Linked DNA regions of Cricetulus griseus. The protein of the gene in region 6 interacts with the protein of the main gene of each other region in a pairwise test. Links are inferred from orthologs where the notes say so. Each region holds a gene or a part of one and is shown on either strand. Other genes may lie near its edges.

What was found.
Region 1: the proteins of Tfg (region 6) and Spg21 interact in binary tests that used the Homo sapiens proteins (3 or more experiments, as listed by UniProt). The two-hybrid records come from large-scale screens. The link is inferred for Cricetulus griseus from reciprocal best matches to the Homo sapiens genes TFG and SPG21.
Region 2: the proteins of Tfg (region 6) and Cstf2 interact in binary tests that used the Homo sapiens proteins (3 or more experiments, as listed by UniProt). The two-hybrid records come from large-scale screens. The link is inferred for Cricetulus griseus from reciprocal best matches to the Homo sapiens genes TFG and CSTF2.
Region 3: the proteins of Tfg (region 6) and Anxa11 interact in binary tests that used the Homo sapiens proteins (3 or more experiments, as listed by UniProt). The two-hybrid records come from large-scale screens. The link is inferred for Cricetulus griseus from reciprocal best matches to the Homo sapiens genes TFG and ANXA11.
Region 4: the proteins of Tfg (region 6) and protein boule-like interact in binary tests that used the Homo sapiens proteins (3 or more experiments, as listed by UniProt). The two-hybrid records come from large-scale screens. The link is inferred for Cricetulus griseus from reciprocal best matches to the Homo sapiens genes TFG and BOLL.
Region 5: the proteins of Tfg (region 6) and Pef1 interact in binary tests that used the Homo sapiens proteins (3 or more experiments, as listed by UniProt). The two-hybrid records come from large-scale screens. The link is inferred for Cricetulus griseus from reciprocal best matches to the Homo sapiens genes TFG and PEF1.

The regions. Positions count from the first base shown.
Region 1 is NC_048597.1:177,058,224-177,062,416, forward strand, and holds the start of Spg21 (maspardin), read left to right. Parts: upstream 1-1,393; 5' UTR 1,394-1,612; intron 1,613-4,193. UniProt on the Homo sapiens protein: May play a role as a negative regulatory factor in CD4-dependent T-cell activation.
Region 2 is NC_048604.1:46,068,565-46,072,838, forward strand, and holds the start of Cstf2 (cleavage stimulation factor subunit 2), read right to left. Parts: upstream 2,801-4,274; 5' UTR 2,694-2,800; coding exon 2,636-2,693; intron 756-2,635; coding exon 677-755; intron 242-676; coding exon 72-241; intron 1-71. UniProt on the Homo sapiens protein: One of the multiple factors required for polyadenylation and 3'-end cleavage of mammalian pre-mRNAs. This subunit is directly involved in the binding to pre-mRNAs.
Region 3 is NW_023276807.1:193,940,628-193,944,127, forward strand, and holds part of Anxa11 (annexin A11), read right to left. Parts: intron 3,205-3,500; coding exon 3,111-3,204; intron 513-3,110; coding exon 417-512; intron 1-416. UniProt on the Homo sapiens protein: Binds specifically to calcyclin in a calcium-dependent manner. Required for midbody formation and completion of the terminal phase of cytokinesis.
Region 4 is NC_048595.1:409,749,596-409,753,095, reverse strand, and holds part of protein boule-like, read left to right. Parts: intron 1-261; coding exon 262-316; intron 317-2,252; coding exon 2,253-2,328; intron 2,329-3,500. UniProt on the Homo sapiens protein: Probable RNA-binding protein, which may be required during spermatogenesis. May act by binding to the 3'-UTR of mRNAs and regulating their translation.
Region 5 is NC_048595.1:22,916,450-22,920,403, forward strand, and holds the start of Pef1 (peflin), read right to left. Parts: upstream 2,801-3,954; 5' UTR 2,388-2,800; coding exon 2,313-2,387; intron 1,999-2,312; coding exon 1,725-1,998; intron 1-1,724. UniProt on the Homo sapiens protein: Calcium-binding protein that acts as an adapter that bridges unrelated proteins or stabilizes weak protein-protein complexes in response to calcium.
Region 6 is NC_048597.1:35,437,227-35,441,410, forward strand, and holds the start of Tfg (protein TFG), read left to right. Parts: upstream 1-1,384; 5' UTR 1,385-1,503; intron 1,504-1,966; exon of another isoform or gene 1,967-2,901; intron 2,902-4,184. UniProt on the Homo sapiens protein: Plays a role in the normal dynamic function of the endoplasmic reticulum (ER) and its associated microtubules. Required for secretory cargo traffic from the endoplasmic reticulum to the Golgi apparatus.

The DNA.
Region 1 (4,193 bases), about 140 Mb from region 6:
GTCGGTACCAGGCTGGTGAATCCCTCAGAAACAGCTGGCCTGAACAAGGGGGAGCACATGGACCCCAGATGCTGTCTGGGAGGACAGTACAGGACTGATCCAGACCCCTGAACGTGAATGTTAATGAGGAGGCCTAGGCACTCTATGGGGCCCCTGGTAGTGGATCAGTATTTTTCTCTGGTGTAAGAAGGGACTTTGAGAGCCCATCCCACGTGAAGGGATGCTCTGTCTCGGCCTGGACACATAGGGAAGGGCCTAGATCCCGCCCAGGATGATGTGGTGGACTTTGGGGAGCACTCATGGAGAGCCCTACCCTCCCTGGGGAGTGGAGGGGGGAGGGGGGGCTGGTGGGAGGTTGGGGAGGGAGGGAGAGGGAGAAGGGATTGACATGTGAAGCTATATAAATAAAATTTTTTTAAAAAGATATATTTTTAAGTTCTCCTTAAAACACTAAGATCTTGCTATAAGATTCTTAAAATTTTTCAAACAAGATTTACAGATAATTCAATATGATCATACATTATTTCAGAGCAAAACTACTTACTGAAAGGAGTCATAACATCTGCACCCTCTTTTGTAAGAACAGTGATTAGAGTGAGCCTTACAGAAGAGGACCTGTGTCTGAGGGCAAGCCTAGTGTTGAGTATGTTCCCCTCAACATCAGCACAAAGCCGCAAAAGGAGACAGTTTGGACAGGAGGTCTGAGGAGGATCTCTGTAACTGTACAGAGAAAACTAGTTCTGTTGAGAAAAAGTATGTAGTTAAGAAGAGGGAGGAGATGGGAGCATGAGAGGAAGATAAAGACTAACAGGGTGATGACCAGAATACTTTATGTAGATATGAAAATGTCCTAATGAAGCCGTTATTGTGATTTAATTAACTTATGCTAATTAAAAAAGAATATATAGCCGGGCGGTGGTAGCGCATGCACAAGGCGGGAAGTGCGCAGAGGCAGGACGATCTCTGTGTGTTCAAGGCCAGCCTGGTCTACAAAGCGAGTTCTAGGACAGCCAGGGCTACACAGAGAAACCCTGCTTCGAAAAACCAAAACCAAAAAGTAAACCAAACCAACCAACCAAATACATCAAGCTCTATTCACCAAAGCTAGAACCCAAAGATGTCTCCCCCGAAGCACGAGCCACCCGAAAACTGAAGGCAGAAGCACAGACTTCACTGCCATAGCTTTCTCCTGGTGCTTATGTCAGACAGGTGACCTAGGACGGACCCTGACCCAACGCCAGCACTGGCGCCAGCTTCTGCATTGCTCCAATACATTTGCGCTCGGGCGAGCACAGAAGCTCCCATCCGGGGCTCCACGCCAGCCTCGTTGTCATAGTTACCGCCAGAGCCCCGCCCCTTCCTCGCTGTCCGGCCCCGCCCCTCAGAACCCGGAAGCGGGAGGCGCGCCCCAGGGAGCTACGGGATTCAGACCTGGGAGGCGGCGGCCTCTGGCTGCTCAGCCGCGCGCCCCCTCTACCTGCTGCGCCCGCGGAGCCTCTGCTCTGCAGCCGCCCGGCCCACCCGCGCCCTGCCGCCTGCCTCCGCAGCGCCCGAACCGGGCCGAAGAGCCGTTTGGGCTGGAGAGAAAGGGACGCGGGGGTGGCCACGGCAGGTGAGGGGCAGGCCTTGGAAAGCGGAGTGAGGGTGTGTGGTGCGTGTAGGGTTGTAGGTGGGTGTGTATCGAGCATGCGTGACTAGTGAGTGTCGTCCACGGGTGGGCCGGTCCTTGTGACCATGCACGTGATCCATATCCGTGTGTGTTTGTGTCTGTGTCTAAGGCCCAGCCTCGGTTCATTGCGGATGGTCGGTGTGCCTGTGGGTCCACTATTGTGTGGCTATGGCTATAACTAGTGGGACTCAGGGAGGCCCCAATGGGGGTTGGTGCCCAAAACCTTAACCGGACATCTTCATCTTCTTGTACCACCCAACTTGGGGCTGTGCGGCAGAAGCTCAGAAGCATTTGGTTTCAGTAAACTTTTAAGGACTGCGAGTAGAGGCCAGTTCTGGAGATCCTGCCTTAGACCGGGCATGAGGCTTGTTAGAGAGTCATGAGAAACATTGCAGGGCTAGCGAGTGTCTCGTTTTTCTTTTCCCAGGAAGTTAGTTGTTAGGTGCTGATGCAGTTGCTTTGTCTCTATCTGCAATTGTCCAGCTACTCTTCGTGCAAGGATTCTAAGGATTGGGAAGTCCTCTAATACTGTCTGAATTTTTCAAAAGGCATTTACAACAGGATCTTGAGAAGAGGTGTCAGAAGATGTCATGCAGGCAGCATCTCCTGTCATGGCATTTAGAGACAAGTGGATAGGTTCCTGGAGAAAGAGGGATGAATTTTCCCTGAAGAAATCGCCCCCGAAAGATAGCTATTTAATACATATGGGTGTGCTGGGGGTGGGGTGAAGATCTGCAGTAAATAGCCAACTGTGGTTCTTTGGGTGTAGTTTAGTGGCAGAAGCTCATGCTTAGCATTCCCGAGGCCATAGGTTCAGTTCCTGGTACCGATAATCATAGTTGTGTCACCTAGAGGCTTTCAAGGTCTAATGCTTTTTTTATTGGCTGTAATAATCACAGATTATCCCTATGTAAGTCCACTATAGATTGAGATAAAGGACCAGCCATATGTGACCATGTGAGTTAACATTTGTAAAGCTGATTTCCTCAGCTGTAAAGTGCAGGTTCTGCTGAGACTCCACGTGCATGCTCACATCCAGCAACACAAAGTCCAGAAAGGACCAGGTGTCCTCAGCATCCCGGAGGAGGGGTTTCCTTAATCATGATTAAAGCTTATCTCTGGCCCTTTCCTCACCAGCCTGAACAAGTGCTTTTGTTTTTGTAAAGAACTGAATCATGAGAAATCGCATCTGTGCTGAGCTCACCGCTCACATTCTTTTTTCATCCTGACCAGTTTGGTCACAATCTCAGCTAACTTTCTGGGCCATAGACACAATGTTTCTTTTGTGACTTGGAAAAGCATCCGACCTAAGTGGATGAAAGAGAGCTAGAACAAACTTTCCTTTTCATACTGCTACAGCTGCTTTCCCTTTGCAGCTTTTTTTTTCTTCTTCTTCTTCTTCTTCATAGCCGTCAGCTGGTCACATGCAACATTTGGTAACTGTCTCGCCTTTCATTACTGCCGAACTAGCACAAGTGTTAGGCTCACTTGTCTTTACAAACGTGTACTCACAGCTGGGCAAAATCTCTTACCCATCAAGATTAGTTATAACGTGTCCTGTTGCAATACTGAGGTAGTTGTGAATTATACGGAAGGCTTTTGGTAAGGACTACCTTCTACCCATTGCTATGGGAAAGAAGTGGGTGACTCGGGGTCCTTGTGTGCCTGCCTACGTGTTTGTGCTGTGGTTTGGTTTGTGAATTGCACCTGACTCTAAAACTGTGAATAATTTCTACCGTAAATGGGTTGATTCTAGAAGTAAACTTTAACAAATTGATTGAAGTTTTTGTTTGTGTGTCTGTTTTGAAATGAGGTTTCACCTATCACTGTGTAGCCCTTGCTGGCTTGGAACTCACTATGTACACCTTGAACTCAGAGTTCTGTCTTCCTCCTGAGTGCTGGGATTAAAGGTGTGCGCTATCATCTGGTGGTTTCACATATTTTTGATATTCTCTCCTACAGAAATTGTTCTAGAAAATGTCTTTAGTTGGTGTCCTAGTGTAAAGTATTTCAGAATTAACTGCTAGTTGCTTTCATTTAAAAAAAGTAGTAGCTTAAGGGAGACAGAAGAGGTAAATTGACTATATTACATTTTGCATGAAACTATTCAAATAATAAGAATCTCTAAAAGTTGTTAAAGTTATGATATAAAAATAGTTTAAACATCTTAGATACTAAACTTGTTAATATTTAAGATAAATGGATTTTGCAAAGGATTGTGTTCTTTGTTTTAGTGTTAATGACTGAATCTGTGCACGATGGTTTCAATATAAGATTGATGGTAATTTACTTTGTGTTTTAAAACAATTTACAGTTTTAGCGGGGGCGGGGGGGCTCTGCTCTCTGTGAGTTAGAGGCCAGCCTGGTCTACAGAGTGAGTTCTCAGTTGGGGATACACAGTGAAATCCTTTCTCAAAAAAAAAAAAATTACAATTTTAACAACCCTCTCAAAATATTTCCTTTGCTTTGAGATAAGAGACCACTATCCTATCAGCATTGTAATTAGAGTTTTAATATTGGTCTG
Region 2 (4,274 bases), on a different chromosome or scaffold from region 6:
CAAATGAACAACTTGGATCATCTTCTCATCTTCATTAACTTGTAATATATATGGCTTGCATTTATACTCACTTTTCAGTTCTTCTTTGTTCTTTTCACTGGCAGCATTATCCACTCGAAGTGCTCGTCCACTGAATTCACGCCCATTCAAGTTCCGCATGGCACTAAGTGCTGTTTCTTGGTCTTGGTATTCACAGAAGCCATAACCTTTTGGTTTTCCTGTCTCCCTATCATATACCAATCTGAAGAGCAAAACCAAGTATCAGAAACAAATGCTACACACACACACACACACACACACACACACACACACAGGCTTCTTGCTAACATTGGCATGTTCTAATTTAGACCACAGTAAGATACCCTTCTAAGCCAGGCATGGTGGTGCATGCCTTTAATCCCAATGCTCAGGAGGCAGAGGCAGGCAGATTTCTGTGGTTCAAGGTCAGTCTGGCTATACACTGAGTTTCAGGACAGCCAAGCCTGTTACACAGAGGAACCCTGTCTCCAAATCCCCCCAAAAAGACACTCTTCTATTTCTGCTTTTATGTTTTTGAAACATTTTTAATGAAAGAAATTTTCCAAGTAAGACTGGATATGAATTATAAAGCATGTACATTTATCTCAAAATCTGTGGTTTTTAAAGAATCTCCCATGAAGATCTTAAAAGTTCTCACCTGAAACTAACAACAGGCCCAACCTCAGAGAAGATGTCCTTCAGTTGTTCTTCAGTAGCTTCATACGGAATGTTTCCCACTAAGGAACAGATAATACATTAAAATGCTGGTGCAGTAATGGAGCTCTTCAGTAAGCAAGTAAACAGTAGGCTTTCTATTTTTATCAATAAATAGGTAACAAGTTGACTGAACAGTGTTCTCCAAAACGCTTCCACTGTACCTTTTCAGACCCCACAACAGACCCAGAGGCAAAATAAAAAAAGAAGTCTTTCAAACAGTTCTCATATGGATATGACAAATAGGATGTTTTCCCTTACTTTGATGAAAATATATGTTTAAGCACTGGTATTTACTCATAACCCTGTGTTTGACCAGTGACTACTAAAAACATAAAGAGGGTGGGTTCATGTCTGTATTTCCATGTATACACATGCTTATGGAGGGAATAGCCAGGAATATAGTGGAGGGGGGTTAAAAATCATTCTCAACTGTTTTGTCATGTTTCTTTCAAACAGTGCTTCTTGTTCTTTTTGTTTTAAGTCTTATTATATAGTGTGGCCGGCCTTGTTATGTAACCTAGGCTGGCGTTGAATTTGAGGCAATTGTACTGCCCCAAAACGTGCTTTTAAACGTGCACTCAGGAGGCAGAAAAAAAAAAAACCAAAAACAAAGAAAAAAAAACCACCCCCCCCCAAAAGTGCACGCCTTTAACCCCAGCACTTGGGAGGCAGAAAAAACCAACAACAAAAAAAGCGCATGCCTTTAATCCCAGCACTTAGGCAGAAAAAAAGCAACCAACAAAACAAAACCACCACCCCTCCCCCCAAAAGCTTAAGTTTTGTTTTTGTTTTTTTGTTTTTGTTTTTTTTGGTTTTTGGAGACAGGGTTTCTAGGGCTTTAGAGGCTGTCCTGGAACTAGCTCTTGTAGACCGAACTGGTCTCAAACTCAGAGATCCTCCTACCTCTGCCTCCCGTGTGCTGGGATTAAAGACATGTGCCACCAACGCCCGGCAAAAGCACACGTTTTTATTTTTTGGTTTTTCGAGACAGTGTTTCTCTGTGGCTTTTGGAGGCTGTCCTGGAGCTAGCTCTTGTAGACCAGGCTGGTCTCGAACTCACAGAGATCCGCCTGCCTCTGCCTCCCTATTGCTAGGATTAAAGGCGTGCGCCACCAACGCCCTACTAAAAGCGCACGTTTTTAATCCCAGCCCTTGGGAGCCAGAAAAAAAACCAACCCCTGCCCCCAAGGAAAAAAAAAAACAGCAATACACGTGGCACACGCCTTTAATGCCAGCACTCTGGAAGCAGGGACAGGAGGATCTCTGTGAGCTCGAGACCAACCTGGTCTCCAGAGTGAGTTCCAGGACAGCCTCCAAAGCCACACAGAGAAACCCTGTCTCGAAAAAAAAAAAATTAACTCATTTAATTCCTAAGAACTGTTTAGTTTCGCTTCTCTAGAATCTCCCTGAGCTTTCATCAATCAATCATTCATTCATTCATTCGCAACCCACCTCAAGGTGCCCAGGTGGCCGCTACCACTATGGTTGGATGAAACGTTACAAGTAAAAAGCAAGCGATATTAGGCGTTTATGAGAGGGCAGGAAGTGGATATAGGGTCGATGGCTTCAAAATTAAATCTGTATTTTGGGCTAGGAGAAGCAGCACGGAACAGGGGCGCTCTGTTTCCACGCACCTTTTCTCCTAAAAAATAACTGAGAATCATGAAGGGGAAAACAGAGACGACAAACGCTAGGGTCTAGCTCCCTGAACCACACTGCGGAAAACCTCCAATACCTTGGAGCCCAAGTTGGGGGGGGGGGCTCTGTTTGCCCACGAGTACACCAGGCTGCCGCGTCAAAGGACAGCGGGGAAATCGCACGCCCGCCCCGACACCCGCTCCAGCTGGGGACCGCAGGGGACATCCCTCCCTGACTGGAGGCGCCACTAAATTCCTCTCACCGAACACAGAACGCAGAGAACGATCCACCGCAGGGTCTCTAACAGGCAAACCCGCCATGGCTACCCCTGAGGTGGCTTCCGGTGCGCCTAAAACACACTTCCGTGGCAGAGTGAGGCCAGGGCCGAGCGCGCCTCCGTCCGGTGGGAGCCGGAAGCACCTGGACAGAGCCGCCACGGATCTCGTTCCGCGCGTCACGTTGTGGGTTCCCGCCTAGGGTTTTGTTCGGGGGTGGGGCAACAGTCTGCGGGAAGACCTACGGCCCGAGAAAAGGGGCGTGGGTTGCCCGCAGGGGGCCGAGCTATGCTAATTTGAAGTCTCTGCGTTTGCGGTCCTCCTCCTCCGTCATTTTCACTGGTGCACATCCAAACGTTTGTAAGCAGCGCTACAGATGGCTGCCGCAGATTTACCCTGGCAACAGGGAAGTCATTTGCTAACAGCTCTGGCACTGTCATCTTCGTTCTGTCCTACTAGAAATGTGGGGGCCGTCCCCAGTAGCATACATCCTATTACTTTGTTGACGCTTCCCTGTACTGAGGGAGAGCTGAGAGAGGCTGGGGAATGAGAGGACTCTCAAAGTCTAGTACCAGCACTAGTAAGAAAGCCTAGGGGCAGTGTGGCACTGGACATGAGCAGGGGAAGTTTTGGAAGCCATGGAAAATGCCCTTGGCTGTGGTTGTGCACACCTCCTGGGTTAGTACCAGAACAGTTAGCCTGCCACTGGAGTTGGAGGAAATGCAGGGTGGGTTATCCTGAGGGAAATCAGATTAAAAGAACAAGGAAAGGAGTTAATAGCCCTGCCGTCCGAGAAAACCTACCTGGCAAAGTAAGTCCAATGTAGTAAAATAGGCACAGACTTGGAGGCATGGGTTTAAAAATGCCAATTCCATGAGCTGGGTATGTGGCCCATCGGTAGAGTGCTTACAAACCATGCATTAAATCCCCAGAAAAACATACATCCTGTATCAGAAGAGTCTGTGCTTTAAAAATGAGGAATAGAACACACAACACGCACACACACAGAGGAACATGTCTCGAGTAACTCTGGTAAAGAGGAAAGTTGGCAAGTATCACCGATTGAATTTCCAATCACTATGTGACCTATAGGATCTTTTATATAATAGAATTGTTTGGAGCTTGATATTTACAGCTCTGTAAAAGGCACAGATTGACAATTTTGGTGCATCACAGTTCAATGTAGTGAATTTTCACTAAATGAATGTATGGCTAAGTAGATTTCTCACCTAACGTTTCAAAATTCATACAGACAAAAGATTTAGTTGGGGTACTTAACTAAAAATAGGGGTTCTTGGACCTCTACTCCAATCTACATATAGGGTGAGATTTTACACAAGGAATGAGAGAATTATTTTTTCTATGAGTGCCTCTGGTGGTTCTCTGGCCATGCAATTTGGGAAACGTAGTTAATGAAGTAGTTTTGTGACAACATTTGGTGCAGCCATACATTCTTTTTTTATCTGTGATTTTTCTTAAGTAATAGCGGGGCAGCTCTTCTAGTAGGCCTAGAAAATTTTGCTCAGCTTTACCCCTTGTGAGTGAGGAGGCTTGGAAACGGAGTGGAGTGGTTTTGGTTGCTGGATGACTAGCGAAACAGTATGACTGCAAGAAGATGCAGAAACA
Region 3 (3,500 bases), on a different chromosome or scaffold from region 6:
CTGCAGGAAGCTCTGCCCACATTCCCTAGAATGGACACTGTTTTGCTGTTGCAAGTAAAAAAATCTTTCCGTGTGTTTCCATCACAGGCAGCTGACAACCGCCTGCAGGGATGTATTTTTAGAGGAAACTTGGCAGGATGTGAGTCACCTTCCTCCAGGAGAGCAGCTGGACAGGCCCCCACTAATGCCCACACTGTAGCTCCATTCTGCAGAGCTGCACTGCAAACACAAGACCCCTCTGTCCCAGAGGCTGGGGACTCACGGTTTCCCACCAGCCAGATGGTCCAGATTAGCAAACTCAGATTCTGTGGTTCTCTCACTACATCACCTTCAACCGCAGGACACTGAGCACCCAGCCTGCAACCCATACTGCCCCGTGGGTGGGCAGGCAGGCAAGCCAAGCTCCAGACGCCTACCCACAGCCAGCATGCCCTGCTCCAGGTCCCCAGACATCTCCCGGCAGATGCTCTTCTCGATATCTCGGCCAGTCATCCTCTGGTAATCGTTGAAAACTAGCAGGAAAGTAGAAGGGACATGTCACGGTCTGAATCACATTCTCTCAAAATTTCCATGCTGCAGTCCTGACCTCAGCACCTTAGAATACGTATTAAAACAATGCCATGATTGTAGGCCCTGAGCCAAGCTAACCAGTAGCACCCACAACCAAGGTCAGGTTTCTGTGTGGATCCACAAATCCCAGCTTGAGGTGGTTGACTTAGGGTCTTTTTGCCTTTACTTTTCACACACAACCACAGCTCTCTCCAAGTCCCACCAAGTACTCAGCACTATAACTAAAAGGATCTGTGGTAGAGGTCTCCACCCTGCTGTATACCAATGTGTCTTGAGTTTATTTAGGTCACACTGGGCTGGACTACAGTTTTTCACTACATTAGGCATAATACATGCATTTTTGCTTTTTGTGTGTGATGGAGCCAAATCATATAACACTGGCTTCAAGGGATCTCTCTGTCTCAGCATCCTAAGTAGCTAGAATTACAGATGTGTATCACTACCTAGTTTTAAGTGCATTTCTTGGGGGGGGGTGAAGAGGGGCTGTTTCGAGACAGGGTTTCTATGTGTAGCTTTGGAGCCTATCCTGGCACTTGCTCTGTAGACCCGGCTGGCTTCAAACTCACAGAGATCACCTGCCTCTGCCTCCCGAGTGCTGGGGGATTAAAGGCATGCGCCGCCAACACCTGGCTTTAAAGTGTATTTCTTGACTGATACATTTTCACATGGGTTGCACAGTATGTCATCAAACTGAGGAACATCTATGTAGGAAGAGATCACACAGGGACACAGGAACAAGGAGACTCATCCAGAGAGAAGCCTCAGAAGAAACCAATCTTGACAAGCTTTCTCGTGTCCAAAACTAACACATTCCTGTTGCTTAAGCCCAGCCCATAGTACCATCAGGAGAGCAAAGCTGAGGAGACACACTGGACAAGAGTCCCGCCTCCCTTTCACGCTGCCCTGGACAGCCTGAGTGCTCTATGGAAGCTCACAGGAAGCCACAGCCTCTGCTGTCAGCCTTGTGGCCTTCAGTCAGAGGATCCCTGCACCAGGGCAGTCCGTTTGCTTACCCGTCTTGACCCACACTCTGCTCTCCTCCTCAAACCTCCACATTCCCAGCCTGGGCCCCTCTTATTTCATGCAGCAGGCTTACCCTACCCTACCCCACTGTGAACCGTGACCCACTCAGACGCAAGCCACATTGTTCTGCCGTGCTAAAAACCATTCATTATAAACCTAGACACTGATGAGTGCCATGGAACAAGCTGCTGGCTCCTACAAGAAGGAGCAATGCCAGAGCTCACTGATGAGTGCGAGAGTCAGTTTAAAGAACGTGGCCCCTACTCTATCAATGTACATAATAATGTACTGGTGACAGTAAGTGGATTCAGTGGTACAGGAGAGAGAGAGAGAGAGAGAGAGAGAGAGAGAGAGAGAGAGAGAGACAGACAGACAGACAGACAGACAGACAGACAGACAGACAGACAGCACAACATAGTTGGGCATGGTAGCACATGCTTTAATCCCAGTTCTCAGAAAGCAGAGGCAGGCAGGTGTCTATGAGTTTGAGGCCAGCCTGGTCTACATAGACAGTTTCAGGCCAGTCAGGGTTACCTAGAAAGACTCTGTGTCAAAAACAAACAAAAAAGAAACATAAAGTTGGGAATAAAAAGTGGAGCGTGGATAGGGGAGAGGGTGGGAGTCAATTTGATCAAAACATATTATATACATATATGAAATTCTCAAACAATAAAATAGTCAATGAATACATGTTGATGAGTCCGTGTTCCCCCACACTCCACCACAGCAGTCAGGTTAAAAAGCATGCCCTGGGGACAGGGCTCAGGCCCAAAGTCAGACAACCTACACATTGGCCTCATGCCAATCCAGAGCCTGAGGGGATACCTCTCCGCTCCTGTGGGCCTGGGTTAGAGGTGCTGGGGCATGAGAGCTGTCCATCACCTCTGACCCCACCTCCTGCTACGTCACTCTATCTGTTCCAGACACACCTGTCTCCCTCAGGGTTTCAATCGCACACCCTTTTACCAGAGGATGGCCCCAGCCCCTCCCCCAACTCTATTCCTTCACCTTCTAAGCATTTTCAGTCCATTCTTTTTCTCTACATATTTGCTACCAGCTCCGAGCTATACTGAATATTTGTCTTCTGACATGAAGCTGAATCCACGAAGACAGACTACACCTCTCCACCACCCAATAGACAGAAACTCACTTTTATGGGTTCAATAAGCTAAGTAAATGCTACCCAGCAGTGCTGGAATGAAGTTTTCTCCTTTCCTCCTTTCGTTTTATTTTTATTTGTTGTTACTGGAGAGGAAAGGTGCATGCCATGTGTGTAGAAGGCAGAGGACAGCCATGCTTTTGACTGTGGGATCATTGGTTTCCCCACTCTGACATTCCTTATTTCAGTGCATGGCAACCCACCTTTTCCTTTGTCCTACAAGCAAAGTTTTCAGGAAATTTCCCATAGTATCTTTCAATGAAAGTCCATGCAGAGGATATCAGTCAAATATTCTGTAGGCTTTTTCTCCGCCTAACGTCCTGTCTGCCCTCATCTAACTGACCGGGGACTACCTTACCTGCCACCAGGTGGGCCCGACTCCGGGAGCACAGAATCGCATTGAACTTGGACTCATCTGTTCCTAGGCGGTTCTCTCCAGCTGCATACAGCTCCTGGGTGGGGAGGAAGATGCACGTGTATGACAAGCATCATCTGAGTCCTAGGCTCAGATCACCTAGGCCACATCTAGCTCCGTAGAGCCCAGAGAGGAAGGGCTGAACCCTGTTGCTGGCTGCAGACCCGACCACAGCAAGCCATATCCTCTCATCTGTCCGTGTGTGTAGCACAAAGGGTTCTGAGTCCAGAGCCCAGCACCACAGAGGAGGGGAGAGAAGCCTGGACTCAGGTCCCAGCTCAGAAGCAGCTTGCGATGGGATACTAGGCAGAGCTCTGGCTCTTGAGCCTCCAT
Region 4 (3,500 bases), on a different chromosome or scaffold from region 6:
GCTAAAATTGAAGATTCCTGAGTTCTTTATTCTCTCAGTCCCTGTCACTGGGATGACAGTATTAATCTGTGGTTCCCATGCCAATGCAACATACCTACAGTGGCGATACTTAAAAAGTAAAAATGTTACTATAGGCTTAGACATATAGTTCAGTGGTTTAAAAAAAAAGACTTGCTGACCCTAGGTTCAATATGCAGAACTGGAAAATAAGATTTAATGTACCATTCTAAGAAAGTGCTAATAATTAATGCATTTATTTAGGTATGGTTTCATCACTTTTGAAACTCAAGAAGATGCTCAAAAAATCTTACAAGAGGTAAGATCTTTCAGTGTATTTAACTTCTGTTTTGGAATTTCTTTCTTTGAAATTAATGTTATGATAGTAAAATAGTAGAGTACAAGCCAGTGATCTACATACATACATACGTACATACATATGTACGTATGTATGTATATATACATATTTGTGTTTGAATGTATCTTAAGATTGCCATTGGCCTCTAAGAAACAGTCTAAAGACCAATACATTCCAAGTCATGACATCAGGATGATTGTTAAGTTCTAAGTATTTTGTTTGCTTAAACTAGTGATTTAAGAATGTATCTCTGTATAAATGGTTTTTTTTTTGGTAATTCCATAGAAACATTACAAAGAATTACTAGAATAAGCCTATCTGATATTATTTCCTTCCTATGAAAAACTACATAAACCAGTAACATTGTTTAGTAAAATGTCTGTAGCCTGTAGTTCATTTTGATATCTTTTAACTTATGGCAAGTATAATATATAACCTTTTTTTAAAAGGTAGTTTAATTATGTATTATTAAGATCATACACAGTCAGTTCTTATCCATAATAGTTTTTATTCTGTAAAGTTAACATAAAACTGAATTAGTGAGTACTGAACTTCTGGTGTTCCTAATTGAAATACAAGCTAAGATTCAAAAAAACCTCTAGTAAGAATATTGCCACCAGTAAATCAGCAGATAACTTAGTTTCATGTGTTGCTATTTAAAGAAATTGTGTTAGCAAAACTTTTTATTGCTTGTCACAAAGATCTGAAAGAGACTGTTTAAAAGATGGAAAGATTATTTCAGCTCATGCTCTCACAGGTCTCAGCTCATAGCTAGCTGGTTCTGTTGCTGTGGGCCTTAGGCAAGTTAGGACGTTATGATAATGAATGGCCAGGAAGCAGAGACTGAGGAAGAGATCTATGATGAGTATAATTCTCAAGAATATGCGTACCATGACTTGCTGCCTCCAACTAAACCTTACCCTTAAAAGTTCCATCAGCTCCCAATAATGCTCTAAGATGATTAACCTAGCAGTATTCTGTTAAATTCAATCCCTTATCATCTGATCACCTCCTATGAGTGGATCTATTAGCTGAGACAAAGCATTCCACACATGAACTATTTTGGGAAGGGGTGGACACTTCATATTCAAGCCATAATAAACAACATAACAGTTGTTAGTCACTGACATTGGATTCATGGCCAGTAGGACTATAATACCTGAATTAAGCATGACAATCCATTTTCTCCATAAAATATATGACAAGCTTCTTGTGGTTAGGAACATTAGCTAGTTTTGCAGCACCTGTGAGGCATTTTAATTTTTAAAAAATAGCACATACTGTGAAAAACATATCTAAAAAGGACATTTGGTTATAATAGGATAGCTAGAACAAAAAAAAATCTTTTGTGTTGGACTATTCAAATTTTCTGTACATGTCTGCAAATGACCATGAAATTACTACAGATAGTGGTTGAAATTGCAAATAAATTTTAGAGAATACCTGAGTTGCAAATACATAATCAGTAACTAATGATGATGATTACAACATCATCTAGATTCATAGCAGTAGAACCAAGATAAAGACAGTTACTTGAATCCAGACCACCTTTTGAGACTGGGGATATAACTCAGCAGGTAGCATACTTATTCCCAATACTACATAAACTAAGCAATGAGGCACATGCCTGTAATCGCAGCACTTGAGAGGTAGAGGTAAAAGGATTAGAAGTTCAAAATTGTCTGATAATATATCAGATTTTAGCACAGCCTGGGATTCATGAGACCTTGAATTTAAAAAAAAAAAAAGAAGAAGAAGAAAAAACTGTCGAACAATGTCTGCTAGTTTCATGCTGGTTTTTCTTCACTAATCTTATAAATCATGGTATCAGAGTTTACAAATCATGGTGTCAAATGATTTTACAAATCATGGTGATGGGCTTTTTCCTTTATTTTAGGCCGAAAAACTTAATTATAAGGATAAGAAACTGAACATTGGTCCAGCAATAAGAAAACAACAAGTAGGGATTCCTCGTATGTATTGAGAGCTAATGTATTTTTTTAATATTTTGCATGGTCCTTTTATGAAATATTAGACTATTGTACAGCTTTTATTAAAATATCCTGTTTTTTATGTAATAGTTCTTAGCAAAGTTGGTAGTCATATAATTATTTTTAACAAATTAAAATATATCAGTTTGAGGTATAGGGGAAATATACATGAACAATATTAAGTATATTCTGTATAACTACAGTTTAAAGGAAAAATAAATAATTTTTTTGGTTTTTCGAGACAGGGTTTCTCTGTGTAGCTTTGGAGCCTATCCTGGCACTCGCTCTGGAGACCAGGCTGGCCTCGAACTCACAGAGATCTGCCTGCCTCTGCCTCCCGAGTGCTGGGTTAAAGGCATGCACCACCAACGCCTGGCAGGAAAAATAACTTTTTTTTGAAAAATAACTTTTTAATTAGCACAAAAAGTACTGTGTTTCATCTTTTTATTGAAAATTCACACAGTACATTCTGATCATGGTTTACCCTCCCCCAGATCCTCCCCACCAACCCAATACTACCCTTATTTCTTTCTCTTTAGAAAACAAACAGGTAAATAAAAAGAAGTGAAAAAGCCCAAGAAACAAAAAAATCCATTAAAACAGACTCCAAAACCATAATATACAAGTTAAAAAAAAAAGATGAGTAAGATTTTTTTAAATGCCCAAATGGAGCAATATGAGGCCAAAAGAAATCTACAAAAATACTGTTGGATTCATTTTGTGTTAGCTATCTACTACTGGGCATGGACCTGCTCTTTAGTGTGGTTTATATACCCAGTGAACTCGATTGGAGTTTTCCTTTATAAGCAGTTGTCAACTGCAGATAGCTTCTTGGCTAGAGAAGGGAGCTCATGTCCACTTCCTCACCTCAATGCTGGGACCCCATCTGGCTTGAACCTGCGCAGGCCCTATGCATAGCACTGTCTCTGTGAACTTATATGTGGGTCATTCCTGTTGTGTCTAGCACTGTGTCCTAGGTGTCAATTCATCCCACTTGACTCTTTGAATTGTTCACCTCTTCTTCATAGCTCCCTGAGCCCTGATGGCAGGGGACAGAGAGTTGATGATGACATCTCATTTGAGATGTTCCAAAAGTGTTTCCAAAGTATGTCACTCTCTGTACATTGACCTGTTGTTGGCCTCCGTGTTAGTTC
Region 5 (3,954 bases), on a different chromosome or scaffold from region 6:
AAGAAACACCCAGGATGCATTTACAGCATCTCTGCTGGATGGACAGCAAGGGCTGATGGCAAATGCGGCAGCCAGAGGCCCTCTTTCTGCAAACAGAGGAGCACCGCCAATGGTCAGCTCTGTCACCCACAGTTGTATACTAGTACTCAAACCCAGGAGGTGGACCTTCCCAGGACTCTAAGGCAAGTGCATAGATCAGGATGTATGCAGTACCACTCCCAGGTGTTGCTAGCCACCCTAGAGAGGAAACAATGCAGTCAAATGAGAGGGAGGCTGAGCACATAAGGTGAGCCCCTCCTCTCCTCCCCTGCTCTACACACTACAGCCACTTTCAGGCCCTCAGAGTCAGGGGCTCCTTTCCCTGCAGACTTCCTATGAGCTCAGACACAAGGTTTTGGAGGGTACAGAAATCCATTTGCAGAGCCTCTAAGTTGGAAGCCAACAGCCAGACGCTTGGGCTCTGAGAAGATAAATGCCACTGGCTGGCTGGGCGCAGAACCCCAGAGGTTTGGGCATCTCCCCCAGGACCACCTGCCTGGGTACATTCAGATGCTGTTTGCTTCCTAAGCACAGCACTCCCTGGAGGCCCTTCTCATAAGCCAAAGCAGTTCCTGGCTGCCTAGCTGGTGCTGGGCCCCTGAGAACAGCAGTGCTGTGAAGGAGCTGACTAAAGGGAACCCGGGAAAAGCAAGGACTGGCACCCACTTTCCCCAGCCCTCTGCTAAGAGACCCCAGCTAAAGCTCTTCAATCTCAACCCTCCTTGTCTTGTCTAATACCTTCCCTCCAGCCTGCGGCTCTCTTTCCCCTTCTCTTTCATCCTCTTATTTGCCATAGCTACCATCACATTTCACACCAATATTCTCCTGTACTGTTACAAGTCTCTCACAGAGTGCTGTCCATTAAGTTCAGATGCTATGCCTAGCATTAAGCTGCAGCTTCACATTTAGTCCTTACTAATCAGCCTGTGAGGCACTGTCCCTATTTCACAGAGCTGGACACTGAGGCTTACAGAGGCAGTTTGGGCAGGCCAGGGTCTGATTGGAGAAGCTTTCACTGGTGACATATTTTCTTTCCACAGATGTGGCCAGTCACCCTCCTACAGGAACGGAGTTTCTTCTCCCATGGACTACATTGCTGTCTCCAATTATCTTCGGATCCCCCTTCCTGATCCAAGCATTGTACACCCTCTCCCACCGCCTGGTAGCTCAAAGATACCCTATGAGAGGAGCACCATCTCCAGCCGGGGTTCAGCTTGACAACGGGATGTGCTTCGGCCAAAAGAACATGAGTAGATGAGACATCAGTCCTTCTGAGTGGACCCTGCAGAGCTACCGCCCAGCCCGGCTAGCTTCTTACTCTTTCCCTCTACCCTAAGGACAACATGCCCCAAAGGGGATGCTCCTTCAGCACTAGTCCCAGAATGAAAGATACATGGAGCAGAAACTCAGCTGGCAACCCACAGTTGCTGACACATGAGCGAGAGTAAGCAAACAGTAGAAATAAATGCTTGTTGTAAGCCAAGAGGACTTTGGGAATGTTGGCCCAGTAAAGCTAACTGATGGACTTCTCATTCGGCCAGTATAGGCAAAGCAGGAAGCGAAGGGCTATGGTGCCAGAGACTGGGGCACACGCACATCTTCAGGAAGGACAAGGAGGGGACATGGATAGCTTAGACCAGGTCAGAGGTTCTACACTGGGTCCCAGAGCTGAAGGTTCTACTTACCCTGTCCATAAGGTCCAGGCTGTTGGGCACCATAGGAACTTGGAGGTGGCTGACCGTAGGGGCCTCCTGGAGGTACACCACCATATGGTCCGCTGGGAGTTCCAGAGGGGAGTCCCCCAGCACTGGGGTATCCATAGGGCCCTCCGGGGGCAGGACCTCCGTAACCACCGCCAGGGGGAAGTCCACTGCCATACTGGCCCCCACCATGGGGAGGTCCAGGGTAGTAGCCACCTGGGGGTGCTCCAGGTGCCTGTCCTGCAGCTCCCGGGAAAGTCTGCAGGAAAAACAGGCATGAGCAGGGTGAGGAAAGAAGCCACAGCATAGCACTTTACAGCTACAAAGCACCTGCACTGCCCACAGGTGAGGTTGGACTTACATTTCTGCTCAGGTGGCCTTGAGGCTTCTAGGGAAGCTACTTGTTACCCAAGGTCATACAGAGTCCAGACTGGCATCTTATCCTCCTGACTTCTCTTTCCTGTACATCAAGGGCCCTACAAGGCCTGGGATCATGTTTGACTTGTGGCTTTATCCCTAGCTCCAGGGGACAATGGATGCTCAGTAAATATATGAACAAAGTGGAATGCTCACCCTTTGGGATCTTGACCTCCACCTGCAGAATTCACAGCACAAGTACAGTCTTTGATACAAAGCTCCGCCCCTCATCAGCCGCCAGTGATGTAGTCACAGCATGGACCCTCCACAGCAGCTCAAGATGCACGAATAGTCCCTAACTTCATGACTCTAAGGTAGACAGGGAGCCTATCCCCAGGGCAGTAGGGACAAAACCCAAATACCACCGTTCAGGTTTGTCAGCCTCTAACTCATGCCAATAATGTACTAGGGAAGGAAGACGAAGCAACTTCCTCCTGGAGTAGTCTGACCAAGAGCCAGCCCACATATGAATCCTCCACTCCTTGCCCTCTGCCTTTTGCCTAACCCTGGAAATAGGTTGTGTATTTGTTGGAGAAAAGCCCTGCATGGAAGTAACAGAATCCTATAGAGTCTTTATAGGAGGGAATGAAAAGAGTTTTGTTCTCAAAAACAAAAAGCTAATTGCCACTCTTCTGAGGTTTGCAAAGGGAAGTTGAAATTATTCTGAGATCTAGAAGGATGAAAACAAACAAACAAACAAACAAACGAGTTTAATCCCAGCACTTGAGAGGCAGAGGCAGGTGAATCTCTGTGAGTTCAAGGCCAGCCTGGTCTACAGATCGAGTTCCAGGACAGCCAGGGCTATACAGAGAAACCCTGTCTTGAAAAACAACAACAAATCAGGGTCTTGTCTAGTAAGTCTATCCAGTAAGTTGGACAACTCTGGTTCTGTCCTGGTAAATAAGAGTCACTGTTGGTTTGGGATTAAAACAAAAGTTTTAGGTATATTGGGAAGAAACAACCATTGTAAAATAGCTGAAAAGGGAGTGAATCCTGCTGCAAGGGAAAGAGGAGTGTTCAAGATAAACAGAGAGCATAAATCTAAGCTGTCCTCCTTCCAGGCTCAAGCCACTCATTGGAACTGTAAAGCAAAAGGAATTAAGGAGATGAGTCCAAGATCTGTAAGGGAGGCAAAAAGATGGGAAAGCCACTTTGAGAATTCTCAAGGGAGGCCAAAGCAAACTGATATTGCCCAAGAGCTAATGAAAAGAATTTAATATTATCTTTTTGGGAACAGACCATTGTAATCAACAAGGGAAGGATGATGGACAATATACCAGACATGTATACCAGACATGGAACACCTAGCTGAACTCTGCTGGGACAAGCTGCAAATGAAGAGAGACTTGTATTGAAGTGTGTAAATCCTTTAAAACAGACATATACTTTAGTATAAGAGGCTAATTGGATATCATCCATATACTGAAATATGTAATAAGTATCTGAAGACTTTTATCTAATAGAGTGTATTGCCTTTTTAGCGGTAGTACTATACTATATACCCACCACTGGCAGCTGGAGAAGTACTTGCCATTGGAAGGGAGATATAGGTGTTTGCTTATTGACAGGAGGCACTGAGAAAGCAATTCTTGATGACCAGGGCATAATGGAATAGAAAAAAAAAAAAAAAAAGCAATTATTTTAAATCAGTAACTATAAACATAGGAGAGGTGGAACTCCAGGCTGGATGGCTCCAAGAGATGAAAAGGAGCATTAATAACATGGAGATCACATAAAAGCCTCCATTTAACAGATTTTGGGGAAGATAGAAGATAGATAACAGCACTGAACAATGGGT
Region 6 (4,184 bases):
TTGAACATGTTTCTGCATACCAGCTCTTAGATGGAGACGGGGAGTGTGTGTGTGTGTGTGTGTGTGTGTGTGTGTGTGTGTGTGTGTGTGTGTGGCAGAGCAGGGTGGCATGATCCAATGCTGCTGTTTCTTACAAGATATTCTCAGAGACCTATGGTATAGTTCCAGTCTACATAGTGGAGCTTTGCTACAGGTGGAAGTAGGATCTTTACAATTTGTTGGACTTTGATATGAGTTACCATGAAACTGTAACATAATAATTGAGACTTTCTAGACCTTGGTGATAATAAACAAAGATGACCCCCCAAGTACTCACTAGGCAGCAACAGAGAAGGGAGGTGTTCTTCTAGACTATGAGTTTGGATCTCAGTTACAAGTTACATGATTTGAGATAAGAGTGCAAGAGGCTGTAAAGGAATAAGCAAGACAAGGCAAACTCCGAATCTCCTACCACCACTAAAGTCGGTGACTGTGTAAAGGTGGGCTGAAATTATTCTTAACAAAATATTACCCCCAGTTAAGTAATGTATGAGTATATTGTCCTTAAAACACAAATGCAGCAGTGCTAAAGCAGAGAGCTAAAATCCTTTCCGGGCCAGCTATTAAATTTACAGCCCACTTCTTTCCAGTTTATTCTGGTCATGAGATCTTTGTGTTTCATCTAGATTAAAAAGTATTACTCAAATTATATTCTTATAGTCACGGTATGCTGTTTACACTCTACAAACTCCAGGCAGGGATCAATCAGTTTGAGGCTGGTCCATCCAAAGCAAACACGTTAGGCAAAAATGAACGTCAGCGCTTGTCGGGTATGTTCCCCCCAGACCCTGTTGAATCCTTGGGTTTAACTTCCACTCTTTGTCCCTTTCACCCGTAGCTGTGCCCTCTGAACGCTGTGGCCTTCCCAGGGTACCTCCTAGCTGGCGGACTGACTCATCGCCAGCCCTAGCACTCCTTCTGGCAAAGCGTAGGCGCCCACTCGTGAATGAATGAACGAATGAATGGATTTGTAGAAACCGGGCGGGAAAGGGGCTCGTTTCCTCGAGGTGTGACTGACTTCGCCGACCACGACGGCCACAAATCAACAACAAGAGCCAAACCGTTTCTAGACAGATGCCGATTTCCAACCAGGCTCGGAGGACGAGCCCAGCCCTGCGGACTGCGCCCCGCCCACCGGGGGGAGGGGGAGGCAACGCCTACTGTCAGAGAAGCCGGAAGTGCTGCTGACTCCCCGCGCATGCGTGCCCGCCTCGGCTCGCACTTCCTACACCCGGTCGTCCGTCCAGTGAGGAGGCGGGGCCGCTCACCCGACGCAGCCGGGTCTTTTAAGGCCCGTCCGGCGCCGCGCCCGCCCCACACGGCGCATGCGCGCTGGGCTGGCCCGTTCGCTCAGAGGCGGGGCGAGAGGCCAGGGGTGGCTATTTTTTTTTCCCCCCCTCCGCTCCCGCCCCTGCTCTTCCCACCTGCCACGTACGGGACCGCGGCTCTCGCTAGGCTTGTCGGGTGTGTGCGATTGGCCGGGCCTGCGCGCCTCCCTGCTCGGCGAGGCTCGGCGGAGGGCGGGCGGCCGAGCGAGCGGGGTCCGAAGCTCCCCTGCGACACTGCGGAGCCCGCGGCGGCCACGCGCGGGGGGTCGGCGGACGCAGCGCCTCGGCAAGCGGTACGGCCGCCGGAGCCCCGCGTGCGGCCGCTCTCTGAGGAGGCCGGGGAACCCGAGAGCGCCGGAGGCCTTCTGGAACCTCCCGGCCCGGGCGGGTGGGGCCGGGACCGTGGGAAGGGTGCGGGCCCGGGGAGGCCGGCGAGCGGCCCCGGGGGCGGAGGAGGGGCAGCCGGGAGGGGGAGGGGAGGGCGCCCGGCCCGGTCCGGCCTGGCGGGAGTTTGGGCCCCCTGATACCCCGTTCCTGGTCCCTCGGGACCCCCAAGGGGTTTGAATTACAGGATTAGAGATAGGGGATTGAGGAGGCCGGGGGCGTTTGGTGCCTCACCCTCCAGAACGGCTTGGCAAGTGGAGAGAGTCGAGTGAATCATTCAAGGAAGAGAGATGGGGCTTGAGGAGGCCGGGGTGTTTGCTGCCTAACCTCTAGATTGTTTTGGATGGCGGGGCGTGGACCCCAGGGGAATAAATAGATTAGGGTCACACACACACACAAAAAGGAGCCCCAGTCGGTTCTACACTGTCATGCCTAGTGTCCCCTTGAGGCCTTGCCCAGTTTTACTGATGACAATTCGGAACTTCTGTTAAGTTTTGTCGCTGGGCTCTGTAGGAAGAATGATCTCAAAGTATGCAGATTTAGCCATTACACTCCTTTTTCATGTGAAGAAAATACACTTTGAAGAACGTCACATAGCTACGGGTGAAAATGGTTACCATTCTTGCTGCAGGCATGCCACACAGATTTTGAGGCCTCTTGGCAGTTTTAGAATAATCACGTTTTCTTTTTATTTTTAAGGAAACTGCTTAGAGGGTGTGTGTAATAGAAGCTTGTGAGTTTTGGGCGAGCAAGAGGAGTCTGAGGCTTGACTGGTGAATGTACTTCCTAGTGCAGGGGCCAGGCTTTATGTCTTTGGGCACATCAGTTTATCCCAGGAATCAGAAAATTTACCGGATGGAGGGCACATTCCTGGTTGAGTTACTTCTGGACTTCAGAAGTAGTAAGACAGCAACAAGATAGGTCAGAAAATGTCGTAGGGATCTCACGAGCAGTTCTAGGAACTAATTCATGTTAATCTCTACCTTGTTAGAGAAAAACTGGACTGGAGTTGACACCTGTGTGGATGAGGTTTTTCTCGTGGTACAGGAAATAACTGAAGCTTGTGTGTGTACTTGAGATCACTACACCAGTGGGGGACAGCTTTTTGCAAAGACTGCAGGGAACTCACGGTCAATAGGAAACACCAGAAGTGAGTTGGGGTCATGAACAGCAGATGTTAAGGATATGTAATGTTAGTTTTTAGATCCGTTGGAGTTCAATGCCCATCAGAGGGCATATTACCAAGTGTATTTGTGCTGGGACTTTGTCTTGCCTGGGAGTATATCTTGATATGAGGTGGCCCCCTTGACCACATAAAGAAGGTGGCCAAACCATCTGGAATTGACATATGTTCCAGCTTTCTTCTCCAAGTGCCTTTGCTCATTGGGCCTTTGTGTAGGACTTAAAGCTCCTCAAGTGGCTTTTGTATGTCAGGTACTGTTTTAGGTGCTTTAGGGAATATATAATAGTGTTTTACTAAAACTAAGCACTGGTCCTTATTCAATATATTGCTGGTTTGTATGGCCTATAGATAGAAGGCAATACATACAGGTTTATTGAAAGATCTTTCCTTTAGAGCTGTCAGTGAAAGCATGGGTTATTTACAATCCTGTTAGAGTTACTGTACTTTAGAACCTGGACTATAGTAGGTGTTCTGTAAATATTTCTTAAAGGCAGAGGACAACAAGTGAAGAGTTGGTTCTATAGAGGTTTCAGGTCATCACAGTCCTTATGAGAAGTCCATTGTGAGACTGATAAAAACTGTGCTCTTTGTATTAAGATAAGCCTGGCATCCAAACTGTGGAACATAGTTCGCTTTGTTCTACCTTGACCTTGTAGTGTTGTCTTTGGGTTTACTGCCCCATTTCATTAAAGAGTTACTAGTAAAAATGTAATCTCACAGGATGGTGAAGGGGTATATTCATTTAAGGGACAGTTGGAGGGAAAAACTGAAGTATTTATGTGAGGAGTATTGGGAGATTTATAGTTAATAATCATGACATAAGTTAGGATTGATTAAAAGCTTCCCAAGTTGAATAGTTTGGTGATTTGGTGGGTGAGGACTTTTCCAATTAAAAGGCACAGCAGAATGACTGCAAGAGAAGTTCAATGGTGGCAATTCAGTAAGATTTAGAGAAGGAAAGAGAAAGCTGCCAGTACTGAAAGTTCAAGATTGAAAGCAAAATGGCCAGTGGGAGCTTTAGGACAGCTTAAATGGCTCTCAGTGGTCATTTACTTGGAACAGATGAAAGGGCTGATGGGACGAACATTCTGTGCCAATAGATAAGCATGTTCAGGAATTACTTGGCCTTGAGAAAAAGATGTTAATCCATTATTTGATCCTAAATATGCACTTTATGGTGGTAGTTTGGATTGTTAAAGGACTTGGTGTTTAGAATTTAAGATTATAAAGATGTAAGACATACTGAGTAA